2 linked regions of the Lepisosteus oculatus genome follow. The protein of the gene in region 1 interacts with the protein of each later gene in a biochemical or structural test. Links are inferred from orthologs where the notes say so. Each region holds a gene or a part of one and is shown on either strand. Other genes may lie near its edges. The genes, in order: hdac5 and sik2a.

What was found.
Region 2: of the proteins of hdac5 (region 1) and sik2a, one has a biochemical effect on the other in vitro, tested with the Homo sapiens proteins (2 studies listed by BioGRID). The link is inferred for Lepisosteus oculatus from reciprocal best matches to the Homo sapiens genes HDAC5 and SIK2.

Annotation. Positions count from the first base shown.
Region 1 is NC_090723.1:7,408,599-7,420,980, reverse strand, and holds the start of hdac5 (histone deacetylase 5), read left to right. Parts: upstream 1-7,031; 5' UTR 7,032-7,047; coding exon 7,048-7,230; intron 7,231-12,382. Other genes in the region: tut1 (speckle targeted PIP5K1A-regulated poly(A) polymerase), read right to left, coding at 1,777-1,986, 2,587-2,777, 3,132-3,210. UniProt on the Homo sapiens protein: Responsible for the deacetylation of lysine residues on the N-terminal part of the core histones (H2A, H2B, H3 and H4).
Region 2 is NC_090718.1:15,493,599-15,505,598, forward strand, and holds the start of sik2a (serine/threonine-protein kinase SIK2), read right to left. Parts: upstream 5,291-12,000; 5' UTR 4,921-5,290; coding exon 4,783-4,920; intron 2,731-4,782; exon of another isoform or gene 2,254-2,730; intron 2,196-2,253; exon of another isoform or gene 1,985-2,195; intron 1-1,984. Other genes in the region: layna (layilin), read right to left, coding at 8,262-8,628, 8,747-8,849, 9,143-9,229, 10,871-10,915. UniProt on the Homo sapiens protein: Serine/threonine-protein kinase that plays a role in many biological processes such as fatty acid oxidation, autophagy, immune response or glucose metabolism.

The sequences.
Region 1 (12,382 bases):
GGGACGGGACTGGCAAACGGGACTTGGCGCTGGAGAACGTCTCCGTTTCCTTACACAAGGTGGCGACGCAATGATGAAAGAGCAAACCAAACGTGACGGAGAAGCCTCTTTGCAAACACTAGGCCAGAGGCTGAACGTTCTGCTTCGCCAATCCATCAGAGAGACAGATCTCCTGGTATAAAGTATGCAGCAGGGCCCCAGGCTTGAACGCTTCATCTCCTCTGTACTGCAGCACACCAACTCTGCACAGCACAGCACCCAGGGTCTGAGGCCTGGGAGACTAACATACTCAGAGGAGCAAAGGGAAGTCGCATCACTGCGACACCTCGCTCTACCCAAAGATCCTCGCTGCCTGGTGACTGAAAAACAGGAGCTGCGTCATACCTTACCACAAGCTCACAGCCCACGTGCTCCCATCTCAGTCGTCTCTGCCGACCGATGCCCGGAGACGCAGGCGGCTTTCATCAAAATAATCTGCACAGCATGCGGTACACACTACCCCTCCTCGCTGGCAAATCCACGGCCCGGGTTACTAATTCTCTCTTTACATCACTCTTCCGCACTTCTGACACGAGACGCCTCTTAAAAAACAACTTGTCCTTTCCTCTGGCAACTCCCCAAACAGTCCAGAGTTATTTACTCACACCCTTTGTAGACTCTGATCACCCCACCGGCGGTGCCCACTCACCTGGTGTTATGAGAGATGGAGGAATAACTGACTCACAACTAGGGATCAAACTAGTTTCAGAATTCTAGGAATAGGTTTTAAAAAAGCAAATCAGAATTACAACAGCTGGGAGGTCTAGCTCTCAGCCAGTGCTACAGCGCACAGCTCTGTGCTGGTAGAATCACCATCTTATTGGATGCAAAGACTTAAGAGTGACAATGTACAGACACCTACACACCTTTACACTTCCAGGCTGAAAAGGGAGCAGTATAGCCTGTGTCTGAATTGACTTTATCCACCAGAACATTTTAACTGCCTCTTGCTACAATGAATGAGTACTGAATAAAAAGTAAATGACTACACATAATATCACATGTATAGGCATGATTAGGATTCTGAATTTCCCAAGTTAAGAGTCCAACAACATACCTCTTGTATTGATACAGTTTAATACAGTTGAACAGATAATCAGTTCTCACTAAGTCTACACTAGACCCTAATTTGAGAAATTCCTCTGAGTTTATGGTGCTTATTATGACTGCCTGTAATTATTTAAACACTTGTGTACTTGTGGTTATTATTCATTAAAGACATATCCCTTCTGTGGAAAAGAACAGTCACTTGGTCAAAAGCCAGTGAGTAGAATATCTGGAATATATACAGAACATAGTCAAACCTAAATTGGAAAACTGAAGCACTAATAATTGAGTTAAACAAGCTTTGGAATAACAGTCTATCAGCATCACTTGTGAAATTGAAGAGAAAGTGCCTGGTGAAATCCAACGCAAAAAAACAGTTAATCTAAATGCAAGAGGTTTAGCATTTTTTTCCAACCAGAAAACTGCATTGGTAAAAGGTACATCATGTGATAAAAAAAGAACACCAAACATGTGTAACCCAACATATAATTGAGCAGCAAAAAAGACTTGTTTCAGACACTGGTACCTATAGATAGCACTATACTGTAGATCCTTTTAGATCAATCATGTTAAGGTGGCCTGATGCAGAATCCAGCTGAGACATGAAGAGCTCAGACAGTGCGAATAAACAAAAGCTCCAGCAGGACTGGAACCCGGCTGGTATGCAAGGAGAGAGAGAGAGAGACTCACAGAATTGGCCTGACAGAGGGCATGGGACAGAAGTTCGGGGTTCATCGAGGGGCTCTTGGTGACGTCCTGCTTCCGTTTGGGGACAAACTTGAACTCCTTGCTCTCCCTTTGCTTGATGCGCAGCCTCTGGCCCTCCATGCTGTGCTGGGGCTGAGACAGGGCTGCCTGCTGGCCCTGCTTGTCGCTGAACTCCACGATGGCATAGACACCCTGGGAGACACAGTTGGAGAGAAACAACAACCCACGTCCATACCTGGTCAGTCCCACACTCGACTCTCGGTTGTCCTAGAAACAGATTCTTCCCTCGGCCTTGCATTCCATGCCCTTTGCTTGGACATGAACTAACCCGTTACTAGACTTATGCTTTTTGCACATCTCTTGTTTTGTTCAGATGATACTCCTGCTTTCAGCAGATACCTGTAAAGGATATTTCTTTTGCCTGCATGACATCATTGTAATAACTTCTATTTAAACTGACATGTTAAGTGATGACTAGTTAGTTAATAATAATTCCTCACACTTTTATAGCGCTTTTTTTGGACACCCCACTCAAAGCACTCCCCTCCACCACCACCAATGTGCAGCCCCCACCTGGATGATGTGACGGCAGCCATAGAGCACCAGTACACTCCCCAGTACAGCCCTCAGTGGGGAGGAGAACAGAGCGATGAGGCCAGTTCAGAGATGGGGATTATTAGGAGGCCTTGACTGGCTAGGATGCCAGGGTAACACCCCTACTCTTTTCCAGAAACACCCTGGGATTTTGTCATGACCGCAGAGAGTCAGGATATTATATTTACAAAAACGCACCTTGTCCTTATCCATGATGACTTCGGACACGGGTCCGAAGCGTTGGAGATATTCCATGATCTGCTGCTGCGACGTCCCCTTTTGGAACCCGCTGACGAACACGCTGTTCTCCACCTGGGTCCGGCGAGTGTCCCGGACGGCGCACAGGTTCCGATGTTTACGGCCCTTCAGGTGGTCCTGAAGGCTTGTCCCTGCATAACCACACACGTTACACTCTAGATAAGCAGAAACGTGTGCAGATACAAACGAAACAGGAGCCTTGCGCCGAAACAAACACGGGCATGCATTTCAAACACACGGACGTGCATTAAAAAGGCTAAAGAAAGAGGAAAGCACGTACTGCCCAGTGTTACTGAAAACGCAGGACCAATACAGCCGCTTACTTTTATCATACACGGGCTGTGAGATTCCTTCGCAGCCATAAAACATTTTTTGAATCTATTCGCCTTAACAAAAATGAAATAAACTCTGTTTCTCAAACAATCATGCCACTGCTGTAAACTGCTCTGTAAGTAATGGTGCTGCGCAAACTTGACAAAACTTACTGTTTGGTACACTGACATCACACAAGTTGCAATGGAACCCTCCTTTCGGAACAGGCTGGATATCTGTATCTAACTCCATCTCGATCAAAAGCAAAATATAACAGAAATACGCTTAATCTCTTAACTAAATAAGGATTAAATTAAATCTCCCTCCCTTCCACGCACTCTCCCCTGCCTCATCCCTCCCATCATTTCGCCCCGGTATGGCAACAAAGATAGGAACTTTTAGTTCCGGAGGAACAAGAAGTCCACACGCGGAATTTGCAGAGTCCCACCGTACGAGGGAGACAAAGCTTTATAAAACCCAGCAATTCTCAGGAAATCTCACTGATGTTTTACATCTGCATGTTTTCCGTCTCACATGCACGGTGTATAACGAACAAAAAGCACTAACATATAAATACCACACAAAACAGTTTTATATACATATCACTGCGTCCTATCTGATCAGTTAAAGCTTTTTAAAAGAAAAAAAAACTCTACATTTTAAACAGCAATTTCAGGAGATCGCTAATGATAAAGAAATGTTTGCTCTTGTGTTTTTCTCCTTGTCTTGTACCATTAACATTTTATAAACATTATTGTTGTACAGAGGGGTGGCGGACTTTTTTTGTGTGATATCCAGGCACCAGCATCTCCGTGTAACGCAAACCACACTCTTTGTTTTCAAAGATACACCGGGAGGCGTCGTGGATCTGATACAAAATGGAAAAGAAAGCTCTTCGATTCCAAAGACAATTTCCTGTCATATAAGTAGTTGTGACTTTTTCTTCTTTGTGTGGGATCTATTTTTTCTCATTAAATGCTGCGAAGGGGGGAGATGGGGGGTTGACATTTAGATTTGGCTGTAGAAATCTGACTCACTTGTATGTGAGTCATCCCTCACTTACGAATATAGCGCCTCCTCCCTCTGTTTGAGTCGGAAGTGTCCGCCGATGCAGACAATTTAGCCTCGACCCCGAGCAGTAGGCTTCGTGCCAAAGCCAGACATTAGATAATCATGAAATATACCATTTTCATTTTTGACATATAACATTTTCATATCATTGCTTTCTGATAATCCTTTACTTCTAAAATCGATCAAACAAAAACATTTTGGGGGGGCTAAGTTAGACAAGGTGCAGAGTATTACGAACAGGCAGCAAAAAAACATTAAATACTGTACCAAGTAGGGACATTAAGTTTGAAAAAGCTGCTTTGTGGAAAAAAAGGAATGTGTAAATGTTGACACGCCATTTTCATCTTCCAGACAAAGTTGGAAAGCAATACAAATCAAGGAGAATCTCATTATATATGTTAAATTAAAATTAAGAGATATCATTGCTAAAATTGTCACTAAGTTACAAAAGAGAGAGCTATTTTACAGTGTTCTCAAGATGTGGGAAACTGAAAAAAGCTTCTCGTCCTTTTACCGAGGTTAGAGGATCGATGAGCTACGAACTACCAGACGTGTTAGATTTATGAATGGGCTCCTCTGGTTTCAGACCGTTCCTAACGCTGTAAAGTGGGTTTGGTGATTTGACTACTCTCAAGGACACTCGGGGTTAATAACTTCGTGATTTTTGTTAAAGTGGAGCACAGGCTGAGTTCACACCAGACACAATTAAGTTATAGGATTAAGATCAACAAAAACAAAAGAGTTTATTAGCAAAATATATAGTTCATTTTCCATCTCTCTTTGGACATAATTAAGACGGCAACACTTGCAGAAGTCTAGGTCATTTATCGTCTTGGGCTGCTACTCTTCTTTGTTTCAATACATAGAGCAGACGTCCGCAACGAGTCGAAGGAACGACAGATATCTTCATCTGCTTCCAAAGCACGAGAGCGCTACCGCCGGCATGAAAAGCGCCGCATCGCCATGGAGACGGGTCCTCATCCCTGACTCGCCGGCTGCTGTCCGGGAGCGCTGTGGGTGAGGGGACTGAGGCGGGGTCATTCATCTCGGCCAGCCTGCCACAGAGACTGGCATAGGAAAACCACGCTAATGGGTGAAAACCATTAGTATGTGCGAGAGAAACAATTTACGGGCATCGTGCAGGACGCTTTTTCGTCGAATGGAGCAGAGAGTGTCGAGACGCTTTTGCGTGCACAACAGGGTGAAATGCATTTTAATAATGGAAAAACTTTCCCCCCGCACTGACCTAACGCCCTGTTTTCTGCCACTATATCGAGTTAGAGGGTTGAATTGTAGCTACGCTCACGGAAGATGTTGAAGTGATCAGCGTGAAGGCGCTTTTGAGATAGTTTTCACCGCGAAACTTTGGGTTGCAGAATTGTGTAAGAAGACTGAATCTACTCCGGTGATCAGACTTATTATTTAAATAAACGGTTTTAGAAAGATTAATAATTTGATTTGTCTTAGCACATAATTCGTATCCCATATCCACGTCCTTTGATACTGCCAGAGGAAAAAAAATATTCATGTAATTGTCTTTTTTTTCAGTTATGTATCTACCTTAATGTTCTTTTCGATTTTCTCCTAAAAGGAGGCTTTGACGTCACAAAGCTGCCGTGACTCATTCTTTTGAAGAGCAGGGATGACGTCACCGCATCCCCGCAGGAGTATTGAGCTGTGTTGAATGAGGAAGCTGATGGAGAGCTTGTCAAGGCCCTTTTAACAGCCGCATGATGGGAACACGTGTTGCGTGTCTCTGTCCGCGCAGGCAAGGGCTCGCGGTGTTGCACAACGGTACTTAGAATGCCAGTCATGCTCCCGGCCCCGGGTAACCATGGCAACAAGCATCAAGCTGGAGAACGCATAGTGATGGCACCAATGCTTTCTCTCGGCCTCTGTCCTTTATCATTATGTCTCCATTCCCGAACTTATGTTCACAACTCCCTCCTTTCCCTCTCCCCCCCCAAACTTGTGTCGGCGGCGCGTCGTTTTCCGGCTCGGGATTCGTCGCCCGCTCCTCGGTACTTTTCATAATAAGAGAGCTCCGTGTCTCGAGGGGTCTCCGGGCCGCGGCTCGAGACTCTCAGTGAGACGTGAGACACAACGGGGGGACCGTCTGCACGGACAGGAGCTCGGCAGACTTTATAACTACAGGCGAGCATCTCAGCCACTTCGCTCCGATTGACATGACTAACAAATGCTGTCGTGGGCTTATGTCCAACCATGCAGCCGACAGAAACGCTCCAAAGTTTAGCAAGGTGGGAACCCTTTGACCTGGACCGGCCTGTGACTCGTGGCCGGGAGCATTGGAGTAGATTTAATTGCATGACTCTGAAAGTAGTCCATCCCTGACCTCGAATCACAGCATATCCCCACACAGATCCTCGGGTACTGGCGTGAACTCGCACAACTTCTAAGCACAAGGTCTAAAGCTCGGAAAAAAACTCAAACTACTGCAACCGGGCTCATCATGTTTCTACTGTTCTAACAAGTGCGGATGAGGCTAATGTCAGCGGGAAACGCTGAAAAAGAGATAGTGGATCGTGCCCGTTGTAAATCAGAAACACTGCGAGAACATATATTTAGCGCGCCTTGTGACGCATAAAATATGCTCACTCATTTCCACCCAAAACCCATTTCCATTTCCACAAAAAAAAGAGAACGTGCATCTGGTAAACGACAGACAACTGCCTTCAATGCAGCGCTACAATCGTGGAAATATATATTTTACTAGACGAGCATGAATCGGTGGTAACGTTCTCTCCGAACTTCAAAAGCCGCAGAGGTCTGCATCCGCGCCTGTGCCGAAACGCCGTGTCAACAGCGCAACATTTCGCTGTGTCAGACGTTGACTGGGGAGACAGACCACACGTCAGGAGCGCCAGTCGACGCGAGGTCTGCCACCATACTCAGGTGTGGGTTATCTTCCCACTGTAGGTTATTCAGTGGTTGCAGAGTCTATTTTTAGCACGCGGCCGGGGGGGGGGGGGGTCACGTGACGGGGGAGTGACGTCACGAATGTTGTTGTTGGTGGAGGAGCTGCCAATATGGAGGAAAGAGAGCTGTGACGGGAAAAAAAATACACATACATTTCTTTTTTTTTTTACCCCCCCAAAAAATACACACCAGCTAGCGCATCCGCCGTCGAAGATCCGGACATCTCCTACAGAAAGGCAAACGGGATATCTCCTTGATCATCAGGTAAAGATAGTTTGTTTACTGACACTCATTTTTTTCGGACCGTTCTTTTCAATTGCGAGTACTCGTAACTAAGCGGGTCGGTGCTACAAAAAAATGCATTTATTCAAGAAATGTATCATTTAAGCTTTCACGGCCGCAGCGAGACCACGGTTTGTGAGTATTAACAAGCATTCGGGGGGGGGGGGGACGCGTTTTCCCAGGTGCTGCCGACAGCGATATACACGGATAAAGATAACGATTTGTTACAAAAACAGCGGTCATTTCCTTCTCCAGAATTAGTGCAATTTTTTAAAAGAATTGTGGTAGTGCGCTAAATACGACGCGGTGGGCAGTGCGGTGGTCATTTCTTCGAATGCCGAGTGACTCGTATTTGTATCGGCGGCGATGGCAAAAAGTTGAAGAAATATTCGACCGAGACCCTCGAAAGTCTAAGCAAGGAAATGAATTGACTGTAAATATGTTTTTTTTTTAAGAACTAGTGAGAAAGGTGGACCAAATAAGTCCACCAGATAAGTGAGCAAGTTGCTGTGAGACCGGGCTGTGGTTAAAGATGTTGAGATGATGTTTGTCATGGGTACATAAATCCGAGTTCTCTGTGCAGTGTCTTCATCGAAGTGTTAACACTTTTTCCAGTTGCTGGGTGTTAGAGAAACGACCAGAAACCGGTGGATGCAAATAATATTTCTGCCTTCCTTGTCTCGTTCCTGCAGAACGAGCATGTTATCCGCATGATATGTGGATTTTTTTTTATTTTCAAGTGTCAGTATCTGTTTGTCTCAGTTGTTGCGGTAATTTTTAGATCTCTGGATTGCCAGACGTGACCGGGGGGGTCGTGCATGCGTTAGGAGCTCAGAGCCAGCTCGCAGAAGATGAATTGAGGGGGTTAGCCATATTCATCCATTCTGGGAAAACAGAACATGTAAACTCCACACGCAAGGATCCGAAGTCCAGACTCAAACCCAAGATCTAAAGACCACCTACACCTGCAAGATGCCCACTCCCGGCAGTTTTTAAGCATCATCTATTAAAATCATTTACGACACTCCTGTATGCAAAAACACAGCAAAATATATGTTTATGTAGAGGTCACTGAAACAAATCCGCTTCAAGGAAATGTATCTATCTCTTTTGAAATTTGAATCTCCGAGGTTTTTTTTTAAGCACCGATTTTCTGACCAAGGTCTCACAAAGACTTCTGCACTTGAGAACGAGGGGAGTACAAAGCCAGTGTCATTTAGAAGAATCTGTTCTGGGCAGTATGAAAGCAGGATGGTGGTGGACACGCTGTGCTGCTGTTTTCTTTAAACTGACAGGGGAATATTTTGGAAGATATGGCGTCGCAGAAGTTCGTTACCTCTAGTGTGCCTGGTTTGTGTTTTCTGGACACTCAGCAAATCCTGCATAAACACAGGTCTCAGGCAAGCTCGGTATCATTGTAACTGTGAATTTCAGAGGCACCAAAAAAATAGCCACTTGTGTATTTACAGCCGTGTATTTTTGTATTTATTCACATATTAACTCAGTCACTGATTCAAAATGAAGGAGTCCTAAATGAAACAGACGATCAGCTACATCCAGTGTTTAAAATAGCCCTTGAGATTTGTGGGAGAGTGCAGATTTGCTTAGGAGCACCTAGAACAATCTCTTACTGTATATTCTGCTTCCGACAGAACAATAAATTGTCATCTCCACTGAAAATGCCTTTTATTGACCTCCAGAATTTTTAAAACTGACATGCTGTGTGTTTGGAATTGAGAAGTGTACCTGCTGTAGTGTTAGCTATGACCTTAAATAATATTATACCTCTGTACAGAATGAGCCTAGTTGTGTCTGTGTTCCTGCTTTCCATGTCCATGTTGACACAGGATGGTTCTGTTAGTTTCATAGTAACATTTCATTCTGCTCAAAAGATGCTGCTCAAAAAAAGGAAGAAGAATTTCTATTTGAGCGCAAAGGACTCTGTAAGAGGTCAGTCTAGGATTCTGCTCTGAGATCAGTTTTTTTGCCTCCTGTCCTTTGGAAGCTGCTGTGCCTCTTCCTGCTTTATTCAGAAAATAAAGAAAAGAGATTTCAAATCCTGGTAATCCAATTGGTGTTTTATTGGATTTGCAGTTGTGTTACACTACAGATGGAAAGAAGTCAGGCATTCGCAAGGCAGAGGTTAAATTACTTTATAGCATGTTTTTGATTATTTTTTTCGGATGCCCGTCATCTGCAGGGAGCGAAACACACTGTGCTACGTGATTATTTGTCTGCATAGATCTTTTTATTCTGCCTCTCCTGCGATTACTTGGTAACTTGATTTTAAGCACGTGTCCTGTGTTGTGTTGACTGCTATTGTACTGATATTTTTCAGCAGTATAATCTCCCAGGATCCCTCTGTAAACAGGACCTGCGTCTCAGTGGGTTAACCTTCCTAGTTCAAAACATAGATCAGCACAGGTCTCTCTCACTGGCGCTGGTGTGAGACTGGTGCGTACAGAGATGAAAAAACACTCGCATAGCTGGGGAGAGACGTTCCTGGTTTAACAAGTTGCACGCTCTTGTATATAACCCTGTAACTGTTCGTGTTTCATGATGATCATATTTTGAGCATATTATTCTAGGTAGAAATGGATTTCACATTGTTTATCTACATTGTCAATGCACTTGTGCACAAGCCAGCCACTTCTAGAAACCTGAAATTTCTGTGTATGTGGATCACGGTGCTATGCAGTGGGAGCCTTAATTTCATCTCTGCAGGTACTGTAGGCTCTATCTCGGGTTTTTGTGTACACAAGAGAGCAATAAAAATGTTGTATTCTTGTCAGTGTTTATGTCCACTCTGCAATCAGATCTCTCTGCTCCACGGTACAGAATACACCGCAGACAGATGCACTGATCAGATGCTCTGACGTCTGTATATGTGTGACTTAAAAGTCAAAGGCTGCAGAAGTTAATATGCTGATCGGCCTTGAGATCACGCATTTATGTTTTCTCCTGCTTAGAAAACAAATTGGGCAGTTGTCTAGTAACCACACTATCGCTGGAGAAGACAGCTGCTGGAACATCTCAGGGTGAAACAGCAGTTGATTCAGTGGCTTGCATTTGCAAAGGCATCTGAAAATGTTTAAACTGAATAATGAAATTAGCCATTTTCTTTGTAAATGGCAGGATGGCCTTGTAGTTCTAAGATAGCACAGGCATGTCAAATCCATTGATATATTTGTGTGTGGATTCTCAATGGGAAGGCACAGTGGTACAGTGTTCAGTTCCAGACCTGGGGTGCTATCCGTGTGGAGTTTGTATGTTTTCCCCATGTTTGTGTGGGTTTCCTCCCACAGTCCAAAGACATGCGGGTAGGTTAACTGACTTCTGGGAAAATCGACCCTGATGTGAGTGTGTGTGTGTCTGTGTGCCCTGTGATGGACTGCCATCCAGTCTAGGGTGTACCCTGCCTTGTGCACGTTGCTTGCCTGGATGATCGGATTCACAGTGTAAATGTCTTTTGGCTGTTGGTGGTGATGTCTTTCTGTATATTTTTGTGAAGCACTGCTTATTGCAAAAGGCCAATTGTATTTTAAGTTAGAAAGGAATATCTACTAATACAGACCCATCCCTTTAAACGGAGGGGCATGATCGCATATCAGGACCTGTTGTTTTTATTTAGTAATTAGAATCAATTCACTTCGTTTTTAAAGCATGGCTGGCAGTCTAACATTGTGGTCGGAGTAGAATGGTGTCTTTTTTTTTTGTTTTGGAAGCAAGGCTGCTGTTTCGAGCTGTTCGATGCCCCGCAGATTAAGGAGTAGCTAAACAGCGCAGACTCCCAGCCATCTCACTTGATTTCATTTTGGCAGAGACGCAGCACAGCCCGCTGTGGCTCCCAGTCATGTTTGGAGGCTTTGCGAGGGGAAACTCTCTCGATGAGGCCCAGTGGGGTGGCTGGGAAGAACGGACCAAGTGATGAGTGCAGAACCTTCAACCATCTTGGGACAGCCTGTCTGGAGCAGCACGCAGAACACAGCAGGCTGTGTGTGTGCTTGCATGCCTGTTGTTCTTTAGAAGAAATGCGAAGGGAGCTCAGACATCTTTCTCTCCCAGCTGGTGTGAAGCCCCGCGGCGAGGTTGAAGGGAAAGCCTCTGGGGGGCTAGTGGCTTGCAGGGTGCTTGCGTCCTGCCCAGCTAGAAAGCAGCGTGCAGCGAGTTGTCTGTCTGCAGAGGCCCGGGCAGTGGGGCGGCACGGTGCTGCCATTTGGCGGCCTGGCCGCGCCAGTCTCCCAGATTTGGAGTTCGGCCGGGAAAGGAGTAAAATCTTCAGGGCAGCGGAAAGGCAGGCACTGTTCTTCCGATTGCAGGGGAATCAAGTCAACAGAAACTCTGGGCGAAAAAAACCCCAACAAGCCCCAGCAGCAGTCTTGCCCTGTTCCTGTCCGCCAAGGCCAGGATAATGTCAGCCCGTCGAGGCGTTCCTTACTGAGAGAGAGCGCAGCTGGTGGCAGCTCTCCATGAGGCCAGGACAGTCACCTGCAGCAAGGGACATGCCTGGGCTTCGTGGCTGGAGTGAGGAGTCAATGACTGGATTTATTTTGGGCCTAATAAGTAGCGTCAACTGGCCAGCAGCCACATCGCCCTGCAGCTCACAGCATGCAGCCCCGCTGAAGCTCAGTACCTGGATGGGAGGCTCCTGGGAAGCTATGGTTGCTGCTGGAAGAGCTGTTAGTGGGACCAGCAGGAGGTGCCCACCCTGCGGTCTGTGTGGGTCCTAATGCCCAGGTATAGTGGTGGGGACACTATACTGTAGTGGGTGCCGTCTTTCAGATGAGATGTTAAACCGAGGTCCTGACTCTCTGTGGGCATTTAAGATCCCCGGACATTTCTCGAGAAGAGGAGGGAGTTATCCCGGTGTCCGGGCTGAATTTCCCCCCTTGGCCTTTACTGTGGCCTCCAAATTGTCCCCCTGTATGATGGGCTTGCACTGGCCCTGCGATGGACTGGCGTCCTGTCCAGGGTGTACCCTGCCTTGCGCTCGTTGCTTACTAGGTAGGCTCTGGCTTCCCTCGACGCCGTACGGTAAAAAGCAGTTTGGCAAATGACATGACGTGACAGGTAGTGTATTCTGTCTGTAGACCTTCAGCTCTTTCAGCTCTTTCCCGTCTCTCGTGGGAAATCT
Region 2 (12,000 bases), on another chromosome or scaffold:
GGAGCTCTGTCTGTGTGTCTACAGTACAGCACAGGCAACAGGAGCTCCGTCTGTGTGTCTACAGTACAGCACAGGGCAACAGGGGCTCTGTCTGTGTGTCTACAGTACAGCACAAGCAACAGGGGCTCTGTCTGTGTGTCTACAGTACAGCACAGGCAACAGGAGCTCTGTCTGTGTGTCTACAGTACAGCACAGGCAACAGGAGCTCTGTCTGTGTGTCTACAGTACAGCACAGGGCAACAGGAGCTCTGGCTGTGTGTCTACAGTACAGCACAGGCAACAGGAGCTCTGTCTGTGTGTCTACAGTACAGCACAGGCAACAGGAGCTCTGTCTGTGTGTCTACAGTACAGCACAGACAACAGGAGCTCTGTCTGTGTGTCTACAGTACAGCACAGCCAACAGGAGCTCTGTCTGTGTGTCTACAGTACAGCACAGCCAACAGGAGCTCTGTCTGTGTGTCTACAGTACAGCACAGGCAACAGGAGCTCTGTCTGTGTGTCTACAGTACAGCACAGGCAACAGGAGCTCCGTCTGAGTGTCTACAGTACAGCACAGACAACAGGAGCTCCGTCTGTGTGTCTACAGTACAGCACAGGCAACAGGAGCTCTGTCTGTGTGTCTACAGTACAGCACAGGCAACAGGAGCTCTGTCTGTGTGTCTACAGTACAGCACAGGCAACAGGAGCTCTGTGTGTCTACAGTACAGCACAGGCAACAGGAGCTCCGTCTGTGTGTCTACAGTACAGCACAGACAACAGGAGCTCCGTCTGTGTGTCTACAGTACAGCACAGACAACAGGAGCTCCGTCTGTGTGTCTACAGTACAGCACAGGCAACAGGAGCTCCGTCTGTGTGTCTACAGTACAGCACAGCCAACAGGAGCTCTGTCTGTGTGTCTACAGTACAGCACAGGCAACAGGAGCTCTGTCTGTGTGTCTACAGTACAGCACAGGCAACAGGAGCTCCGTCTGTGTGTCTACAGTACAGCACAGGGCAACAGGAGCTCCGTCTGTGTGTCTACAGTACAGCACAGGCAACAGGAGCTCCGTCTGTGTGTCTACAGTACAGCACAGGCAACAGGAGCTCCGTCTGTGTGTCTACAGTACAGCACAGGCAACAGGGGCTCCGTCTGTGTGTCTACAGTACAGCACAGACAACAGGGGCTCCGTCTGTGTGTCTACAGTACAGCACAGGCAACAGGAGCTCTGTCTGTGTGTCTACAGTACAGCACAGGCAACAGGAGCTCTGTCTGTGTGTCTACAGTACAGCACAGGGCAACAGGAGCTCTGTCTGTGTGTCTACAGTACAGCACAGGCAACAGGAGCTCTGTCTGTGTGTCTACAGTACAGCACAGGGCAACAGGGGCTCTGTCTGTGTGTCTACAGTACAGCACAGGCAACAGGGGCTCTGTCTGTGTGTCTACAGTACAGCACAGGCAACAGGAGCTCCGTCTGTGTGTCTACAGTACAGCACAGACAACAGGAGCTCCGTCTGTGTGTCTACAGTACAGCACAGACAACAGGAGCTCCGTCTGTGTGTCTACAGTACAGCACAGGCAACAGGGGCTCCGTCTGTGTGTCTACAGTACAGCACAGGCAACAGGAGCTCTGTCTGTGTGTCTACAGTACAGCACAGGCAACAGGAGCTCTGTCTGTGTGTCTAAAGTACAGCACAGCCAACAGGAGCTCTGTCTGTGTGTCTACAGTACAGCACAGCCAACAGGAGCTCTGTCTGTGTGTCTACAGTACAGCACAGCCAACAGGAGCTCTGTCTGTGTGTCTACAGTACAGCACAGGCAACAGGAGCTCTGTCTGTGTGTCTACAGTACAGCACAGGCAACAGGAGCTCCGTCTGTGTGTCTACAGTACAGCACAGGCAACAGGAGCTCTGTCTGTGTGTCTACAGTACAGCACAGACAACAACAAAGTGTGGTTACCCATCTACCCCAAAGTACAGAACCCCTTCTCTCCTCTCGCTCAGCTACCTCAAAAGGCCTCACTCCCTAACCTCTCCTCTCCACACAGATCCACAGGGACCAGGGACCGCTGACCGACCGTACTGCTCTGGGGAGGGACTGGGTAGAGACAATCACTTCTGTAATCAAGATACTTCAGGGCCGCAAAGCAGGACAGTCACGGTGGGGGCAGCTGTTCTCTCCATAAATATCTGCCAATTTCAGAAAATACCATCGTCACAAACAACCTCTTTTCAAACAATTCTTTAAAACAACTACATAATAATAACGATAATTACCGAACGAATTCCTTGGAAAACCTTTATTTCTCTTCGTTCGCGTGCTTCACAAATTAAGGTTTAACGCAATAAAATAATTTGATCTCATTCCTCGAATAGCCTTTGCATCCTTACAGTGTCTATAGCTGCGCATTAAGCTCTCCACTGGAGGTTATTTATTGGGTTATCAAGAACAAACCCCGCCATTTCAACGCCGGCGGCTTCTCGGCCGTTGTAACGTCGCGGTTGTGACGCAGCGGAGGCGCTACAGGCTGTGGACACTTGTGGGATGAAACACTTCAATCGCGCCAGGTGTCGCGTCAAAAACATATCTCACCGGTTTTTTGCCTGGAACAAAAACAAATCACACCCACATCTCTACCTTTTATCTCAGACGTTAAACCAAGTTTGTGCTCCAGGGAGCCCGGAGGAGCATCCTGACACGGGCGACTGAGCATAATCTTAATCCCGCAAACCTGAAAAAGTCAACAACCTCCGGCTCCACAGGACAGACACTTAACAATCACAGCTCGGCACCGAGCAGGAAAGTCGTCCGTCTCTGGGCAAATTCACGCACCCAACACGGTCATATTTGCCTTCGCCACTCCGGGGGGTTGGGGACCGTCTTTTGGTGAAAGTGTAAGAACGCGTACAAAAAAGGCGATCGCCGCTTGCTCTGGAAAACTCCACACACAAAAAAACCCACCCCGAAACATACAGAAAGCGATGTCTCTTAATTAAAAGCTTACTCCGGTCCTACAGTACATTGCTATCCGGGGACCTTTAACCCCGGCCCTGGGGAACGCTAATGAGCCACGCCGCCAAGAAAGAGCTTCGCCTGGGGGTTGTTAGTGCAGCCAGCAGCACAGGGCACGGAAATTCATTAGCCTAAAGAAGACAGCAATTAATAATCAGATTTGCAGTTGCCCGCTGACACGTGTAACAAGAGTAGTCTTGACATTTGACGTACAACATATAATATTCCTTCAAATTCAGCCATTAATTGCTAATAGTTTACACGAGCTGCATGTTCTGAACAAAAAAGGTTGATAGTCTATTATAGTTATCCGAACTGTAAAAAAAAAAACACTAAGAAGCAATTAAATATCACGCTAATTCGTTTTTATGAATTAAACAGGACTGGACTGAACAGAACTGCTTCTGCTCCTGCTGTATTCAGTATCCCCACTACTGTCTCCTCTCACTGTGTATTCTCATTGTGCATATCTTGTGTATTGTGTCGTCGTCGTTCTGCAAAGGCGCTTTGAGAAGCCACCTGTAAAGGCGCTATATAAATACAGTTCTTTATTATTCCTGGTGTCACGACGGAGTTCTTATTAGGGCGGGTTTGTTATTACCACTGCAGTGATACAATCGGGTTTCAGTGTATTTACTGTATTTTTATCTTCTTTCACGGGAAACTTCAAACACGACCAGTTGTTTCACAGGTGACGACAAACTGTGCGGGGGGCCGGGCAGGCAACCCGGAGCAGCAAAAACAGAACAACAACGATCATTATAACAAGACGAGGAGCGTGAGAAATCACGATACACGTCTTTCAGTGCGACTGTCGGCCGTCTGCGCGCTCTTAGAGGTCTGTTCGGCTTCTCCGGAACACAAACACAAACTTCCAGGGAGACGGAAAACGCGCTTTCTGCCGCCAGTGCCGCTTTATAAGAGGACACCTGCGGCCGGAGCGCTTGTGTGCAGCCGCCCCTGGCACCGCTACTTCCCGCGACACCCCGACAGGAGCCGGGCTGCCCCTGTCAGACTCCCGCCGCCGCCAGCACAGGCGTTGGGGGGACAGAAAATGTGCTTTCTCCCCCTGATATCATTCATGAGCATTATGTAACTCCGTGCTCAGAGTGACCATGCCCCCAAAACCGCGGCTGTTTACATCGCCCTGTCACATTGCATAAGCCGGCGGACCGAGCGCAGCCCTTTTTTTTTCATCTTTGCGAGTTGTCGTGCAAAACCCAGTTACGAATATCCGAGAGTGACCTGCTCCCAGTGCTGAGTCTCCTAGTCTGAAATTAAACTTCACGGTGTGTGTTATTATCATCATCAATGTCTCATTATTTTCACGGCGCTGTGTCGTGACAGTCAAGGGGTGTTGTGTGCAAATGTTCACCAGCCGTGCAACTTCTGCACGGCTGTGCCGCCGACTCTAGAGCCCGGACCGGGGGCTTGCAGCCGCAGGGCAGCTGGCCTCACCCTGCCCTGAACTAACTCCGGGACACTTCCACAGCTTCGGGGCGCCCCGGCTCCGGCAGTCCTCCCCCCAGCTCCACTTTAAAAACTGCAGCCCGTATTCCCCGGCTTGGCGGCGGGCTCGGGGTGTGAATGGGTTTCTGAGCACGCCAGTGTACGAGCTGACCCGGTCCGAGAGTTCGCCCCGCACAGCTCCGGCTCCGGCTCCGGCTCCGGCTCAGTTCACGACGCTGCAGCCGAGCGCCGCCCGCGCGCCTGGGTCAGACCCCGCGCCCGGGCCGTGACAGCCGAACCCGAGCGGACCCGAGCCGAGCCGCGGTCCATTGCACAGTACTTGCCTCGGTCTTGGTGATGCGGTGTCTCGCCAGCTTCACCACCGCGAAATTCCCTTTGCCTAAAGTGCGCTCGATATCGTAGAAGCCCACCCGGACCGGACCGCGGTGCGTCGGTTTCTGGTGAGTATCCGCCATGACCATGCTGTTCCGAAGGGGTGAAGAGGGTCGAGGGTCGGGGGGGGAGGGAGAGGGGGAGAGAGAAAAGCGGGGTACCGCACGGCTTGAGCCACAAGGAAGAAGACGAAGAAGCAGGAAAAAAAAACCCAGCCGGGCGCTAGGAACTGTCTATTAAAAAGAGGCGCAGTAAAATCCCCGCTTCCCGAGCCAGCTTGAAGGTTGACAGCGTCCTCAGTCCAGCCGAAGGGAGACAGGACATTTACCGGTGGGACAGGAATCTGTCACGCCGCCCTTTCCAATACAAAAGGGCTATAATGTTTCAGCCCTGTTGGGCAGACTGCACGGGCTGACTTCGAGCAGAAGGCATCGTGTTCCCTGGTTGACGTCCATTGACGTCAGAGCCGCTGGGGGTATTTGTACAGGGGGCGGGCCTTTGAAGCCGTTCCACACTCCGGTGCCAATTCGTCTCCAAGACGACCAGATCCACCTCTGACGTCAACCGCCGGCGAGTGCTATTCTAAAAGCTGTCAATCTGCGCGCTCGGCCGGCGCGCTCGCCGCGGGTCTGCAGATGGGAGCTGTGATAATACCTTTTGTTGAGCGGCTCGGAGCTTTTTTTGTTTTGTTTTGTTTTTGGAGGGGAGGGCTTTAAAATGTGCATTTCAAAGCTGTTAACATACTGTTGACCTTGTGCCTCTGTGTTAGGTAGACGATCTTAAGCGTGTCCGCCGAGCACTCCCGCTCTTTTGAAGTGCCGTCTGGCTGCAACCTGTCTTGGTCGCAAACGCTGTAGCTACAACCTGTTGTGTTATAATGGCAGTTTATCGTGGTGAAGTTTATTATACGGTGTTGTTTTTATTTTATTTTGCCACGTTCGTACTGTGCTCCGCACTGAAGCACGCAGAAGAAAATGTTCCCTGCACCCCGCGCTTCGCCCCAGGTTTCTGCTGCATTCTTCAATTATTCAGGCCGCTGTAATGAGTATTTCCGAGTTACCTGCGATCCTAAGCCTACACGAAAAGCACCAACCAAAACAATGTAACAAGAAACGTGCACGCGTATCTATGCCTGTCTCCCCCAACACAGAACGCAATTTTAATTCGCTCTGAATAGCACCCTGGACCCGCAAGCAGACTCGAACATTATTGTTGCGTGTAGAGTCTGACTGTCAACCCGCTGAGCTGCAGCCTCTGTCGACACAGCCAGGGCCGCCGCGGGGTCTTCTCTTCCGCGATCCCGCACTCGGCTTCGGCGGGGGAGCGCTGCCCCCTGCCGGCGGCCGGCGGGTACTGCAGGCAGAGCGCACGCAGTGGGGGGGCGAGATGTGGGGAATCGGCCTCGGGCACAGAGTGACTTCCCCCAGACGCCTTATTGTGTATTGTTCCGCAGCCACATGGACAAGTTACTGAGCTCAGTTACGTAAGAATGCAGTTCAGGGAAGAAACTAGAACACAGGGTCAGTTCCTAGTATTTATCACCTCTGATGTAGAAATACTAGCTGTTAACATCCATCCATTTTCTGACCTCTTCTTCCAGTTCAGCCGGGAAGCTGGAGCCTATCCCAGCCAGAGACAGGCACAAGGCAGAGTACAATCTGGAGGGGACATCAGACCATCGCAGGGCACACAGGCACAGACACGCACTCACACCCGGGCCGGTTTTCCCAGAAGCAACTGAAACTACCAGCATGGACTGTGGGAGGAAAGCACAGCATGAGCACTGGGGAAACATGCGAACTCCACACAGACAGCCCCCCGGGTCTGGAATTGAACCCAGGGCCCCAGCGCCGTGAGGCAGTGGGCAGAGGCAGTGGCACTGGGCCACTGGGCCTCCCTAGCTGTTAACGTTTGTGCAAATTAAATATTCATTTAATCAAGCCTATTGAAAAGCACTGGACCATAATAGTTGTTAATGCCCCCCCAATTTGCAACAGAACTGACTGACATTCTTGCCTGTCAAAGTTCCCCTGGTGATGCCTCTCCACTAACACACCCAATCAGTTCTTTTGAATCCCTTCTGCTCTGCTGTGAGCAGAAGAACACAAGAACAGCTACAAATGAAAGTAGCCAACCGGCCCCGTTAGGCCACCTGGTAGTTAGTAGTTACAGTAAATGATCCCAGGACCTCATTCAGTCATTTCCTGAAACAAACCAGAGTACTGGTCTCAACAGCAGGACAGGACAGCTTGTTCCAGACTCCCACGATCCTTTGCGTAAGGAAAGAAGTGCCTCCTGGTATTGTTTTTAAGTGCATTTCCCCATAATTCCCACCTATGTGTTCTTTTTTTGCCCAAGTTTCCAAGAAGCAGCATTTGGATTCAGATTTAAATCATTCTGTGGAATGAATAGATAAGAGCTTCAACTCCGTTCAGAGAACAGGGGAAAGGAGCCCGAGTGTCAGAGGTATCAATGTGGAGCATCTAATCCGATGACCCAGAATGTCTGTGAGCGAATGTCTGTGAGAAAAGTACCTCCTCAGAGGGCCTCCACCCACCCTGTTGGCCCCCTGAAGAGATGTGCATCGTCACCTGACTGATCTGGGGGGAGGGGGGGGGGGGGCGACGACGTCCCCTGCCTGGTCCGTCAGCTGCGACACACCGCCCCCTGCAGGCCGGCGTCCACTCACGGCCCTGCAAAACACCAGAGGCGCACGCGGCTCACTCACATACACAAGCACCAGGCAACTGGGTTGTTCTCATTGTTTATTTCAGTTCCGTGTACATGATTGGATACAGCAAACACATTCCAGTTTTCCGACTTCCAGAGTGCAGGGCGCGCGGTCGGGCACCGGCGGACTGTTGGGAGCGTCAGGCCGGAGTTGGGAGTGGGCTTGCGCAAGGGGTCCGCACGCGCGGGTCTTTAGACCTTCTGGTGCAAACCCAGGCAGGCGCGGCTGCCAGCACTGTATCATCGGGGGTTCCTGGCACGGTTTCTCCGTGTTCTGCAGACGGAAGCAGCTGAGTATTTGTCGAAGGAGCCATGGGTGTGTTTGGTTCCCTCTGGGGCAGTATTCCAGTCCGGATAGAGCAGTCGGGGAGATACAATTGCCGGTCAGGAGCAGTTCTCTTCTCCATCAGCTGGCGACTGCGTCTGGATCTGGCGGGTCTGTTGATAAAAAAAGGCCGGAAGAGCTGAACAGCTCCCGGCGCCTGCGGAGGTGGGGGTGGCAGAGGTTGTTGGGGCTGTTGAGGCCGACACTCTGGGCGATGACCCGGAGACTTCTCCAGGTCTTGCATCTGCAGCAGGATAGCCGATAACGGAGCCAGCAGGGAGTTCTGCGCAGCGACAGCTGCCCCGTATACGCGAGAGCAAGATCAGATTGGTTTTGGGGGGCGGCGGGATGGCGGGGGGGGGACCGGGGCGGGGCCTAGTAGCCGTAGATCTCGTTCTCCACCCAGCCGGACTCCCGGTTCGGCCGCCCGCGGCCCTGGCACGTCTCGTAGATGTCGTTGGTGACGAAGCCGCTCTCGGTGCTGGCCAGCGTGGCGAAGCCGCTCTCCGAGGTGTTGCCGGCCATGTTGTCGTAGTCGCTGGAGAGCTGGTCGTCGGGCGCGCCGCCGGCCGGGGAGGAGCCCCTGAACGAGGTGATCTTGATGTCCGGCCGCGTGCCCGCCAGGTCGGCCTCGTGCTGCTTGCGGATGACGTGGTACACGTCCAGGCTGGGGCTGCTGGCGCGGTCCGGCGACATCCACAGGGTGGGCTCCTTGTGACACGCCTCCGTGCGCTCCTTCCTCCTGCGCGGCAAGCAGACAGGCGCCGGGGTCAGCGGGCGGGGTCGCGCGGGTCGCCAAGCTGCGTGGACCTCAAGGGCGGAGGGCGGGACTGGCGCAAGGAGGGCGGAGGGCCTCTTACCTGCTGGCGAAGAGCCGGAAGCAGAAGACGCCGGTGGCCACCAGCAGGAGCAGCAGGAGGGGGATGGTGGGGATGACGATGTACACGATGTTGAGGATGTTGTCTGCGAGGGAAGCATCGGAAGGAGCTTAATCTTTCCGGTCTTTTACAGAAGGAAAACAGAAGGGGCTGGATGCCGGGACTCAGGAATATAAAAGGCATGGACCAAGTCAATCTACAGCTTCAGGATCAACAAGGACCCGGGGACACCAGGGGGGAAATTACAATTTTTCAGTCCAGGCCAGGTCGGTGGAGACCTGCAGGCCGAGGGCAGGATGTGGGCGTTATCCGTAAAGCTCACTTGGCACCAACTGTTTTTCAAAAGCACCCCTTCCTTGCAACGGGACGCCCCCTTACCTTTTGACTTGGTCATCAGCACGTCGACCTTCTCCTCCCTGTCCGTGACCGGAGGGTACTTTGGCCTTGGAGACGTAGCTGCAGCTTCTGCAAGACGAGCGTTTCAGAAGAACAAGAAGGTAAGGGTTTGGAAACACACGGCAGCCAGTGGGTGGCCTCCTTTCTCTCCAGATAGCCGTTTGTTAGCAGTAGGAAATAAAAGGAGTTTGATAACAGACCCTTCTGTTCCTGTAGTGAACACTCCTATCCCCTTCCCGTCCCATTCCCATCTCCCCCACAGTTCACAGTGGAAGTGGTGAGACTGGGAGGGGCATGCCCGCCCGCCCTGCAGGAGGCACTGTTCCCCACAGGGATAAGACTGGAGCAACAGCAACCAGGGGCTCTGCAACTGGGTCATTTTAAAATACCCCGGATATGATGAGCTGAACCAACTTCCCCAGAATATAATAATAACTCCTCACACTTATATAGTGCTTTTCTGGAGACTCCACTCAGAGCTCTTTACAGGTCATGGGGATCCCCTCCACCCCCACCAGTGTGTACCCCCACCTGGATGATGCTCCAGTCCTCTCCCCACACACCAGCTCTCAGTGGGGAGGAGAGCAGAGTGATGAGGCCAGTTCAGAGACGGGGGTTATTAGGAGGCCATGACTGGGAAAGGCCAGGGGGGAAATTTGCCAGGACACCGGGGTAACACCCCTACTCTTTCCGAGAAACATCCTGGGATTTTTAATGACCACAGAGAGTCAGGACCTCAGTTTTACGTCTCATCTGAAGGACAGCACATTTTTATAGTATAATGTCCCCATCACTGTACTGGGGCATTAGGACCCACACAGACCGCAGGGTGAGCGCCCCCTACTGGCCCCACTGACACCTCTCCCAGCAGCAGCCTCAGCTCTCCCAGGAGTCTCCCCTCCAGGTACTGGCCAGGCTCACACTGCTGAGCTTCAGTGGGGCTGCCAGCTGGGAGCTGTGGGTGACATGGCTGCTGGCTATAATAATATTTTCATATCTTATGTTATTAACATGAATTTCATTCTGAATACAAATTTATAAATATATATATTAATATGAATAAACACAATCACCATATTTAAACTGGGTTGGACATGATCAGATCGAATTCAAAATGAGAAAGTGGACTCACACAAACACGGAAACAAAACGCTCTTGGCCCATGTCTACCCCCGCTCGACTCCAGCTGACCTGGAGCTGACTGAAACTGCGATTTCCTCAGCCCCCCACTAGATGTCCCCAGTGACATTAAAGAGCGCTGGAATGCTGCTTTGCATCCAGGCCAGATCCTCGGAGCACAGCCACTTGACTTCAACGTGAAGCCCGGCTCCGGGAAGCACAGCCCCAGGCTCCCTGCGTCTCTGGCTCTCCCACTGGCGCAGAGGTTTCTGTCTCCGGCTCTCAAGCCCGCGGAGCTGTCTCGCGGAGGCAGGTGGAGCCCTGGATGTGGGAAAGCCCTGTGTGAGGGAGTGGGTGAGGGCGGAAGGTGGATGGTCTGGGTGTGGCCGAGTATTAAGTGAAGGGGGAAATGTGCTGCAGCCCTGGGTTCACACTGCCCACCTCTCTCCCGGCCACAAGCACGGGGGCCATGGTCCTCCGAGCTCAGGGGGGACGGACGGACAGGTCTTTACACAAGCTGCCAACCCCTGCGGCCAGTGCTATCCCACCATCCCCCTGGTGTCTCCCCCAGTGCAGGGTCAGTGCACCTACCAGTATGAGTGGAATTCGCAGTGGGTGTAGAGACAGGCCCCTTCTCTGCAAAGATCAGAAACACAGGTAGAGATTATACCTCAGATCCCCGCCCAGTGTGAGCGAATGCAATGGGTACGAAGCAGACATGCAAGCCTAAGGAGCACACACTGACCAGCCCAGCCTCAGTTCTGCCCATGACCCTTCCCCAGTGAGGTGAAGAGTTACTGACACACAGCTTCAGAAAGCAGAGCCTTACAGGGTTTCCCACCGTTGGCCAGGATAGGCGAATCTCCTGGCCCAAAATCCTGGCCACATGGCCAAACAAACGCATGAACGCGGACAAAATGCACACAAGAATGACATTCTGGATTTAACCAAATAAGTTTCATAGTGATAAACCTCATGATCGCCCATCAGCCACCAGCCGTGATTTGTGTCAAGTCTAGGTTGGTTAAAAAAGTGAAGGAATGGAGGTACAATGTTAAGATTGTTGTAAAGATGTGCGATTCTGTTAATGAACCAGTGTGGCTCCTGTACATGAAGAAAAGACAGCATCAACACAAACAGTATGCAATCGGGAAAACCTCCCGCATTAGGACCCTTGAGAGGTTGGTTAGTAAGACGAAAAAACACAAGGTCTCCTCGCAGCTCAAATGTCAGGTCACAGACAAATGCCATGTCCCTTCATTGCTTGTGAGGAAGAATTTTAACATTTACCTTTTTGTAAGTATATAAGATAGTGACAAGTTGGCTTTGAAAAATCCCTTTTAACTAGCAACAGTATGAAAGAACTATTGCAAGCATATTATTTGATGTTTTGATGCTAAAGCTAGAAACTGCAGAATGTCTAGCTAAATTTCACACCTTGTATTTATATACTTCATTTTGTCTGCCTACAAGGTAGAATTGCTTCTGAAGCATAACGTGGTCAATTACAAAGAAATGTTTGTAGAGAGAAAAACAACTCCTAATTTGGGCATTTGGAATGAGCTTTCCTGTGTGAATTGGCTGGATAAAACCCATTGCATTTACCATCTCGGTGGAGAGGTTACTCACAGATCTGTATGGCAGGCTGCTCTCAGGTCTGCATGACTGTATCCTCCCCATGCGCACGAATACAGGACTCTGCTTGACCACACCTAACCTGA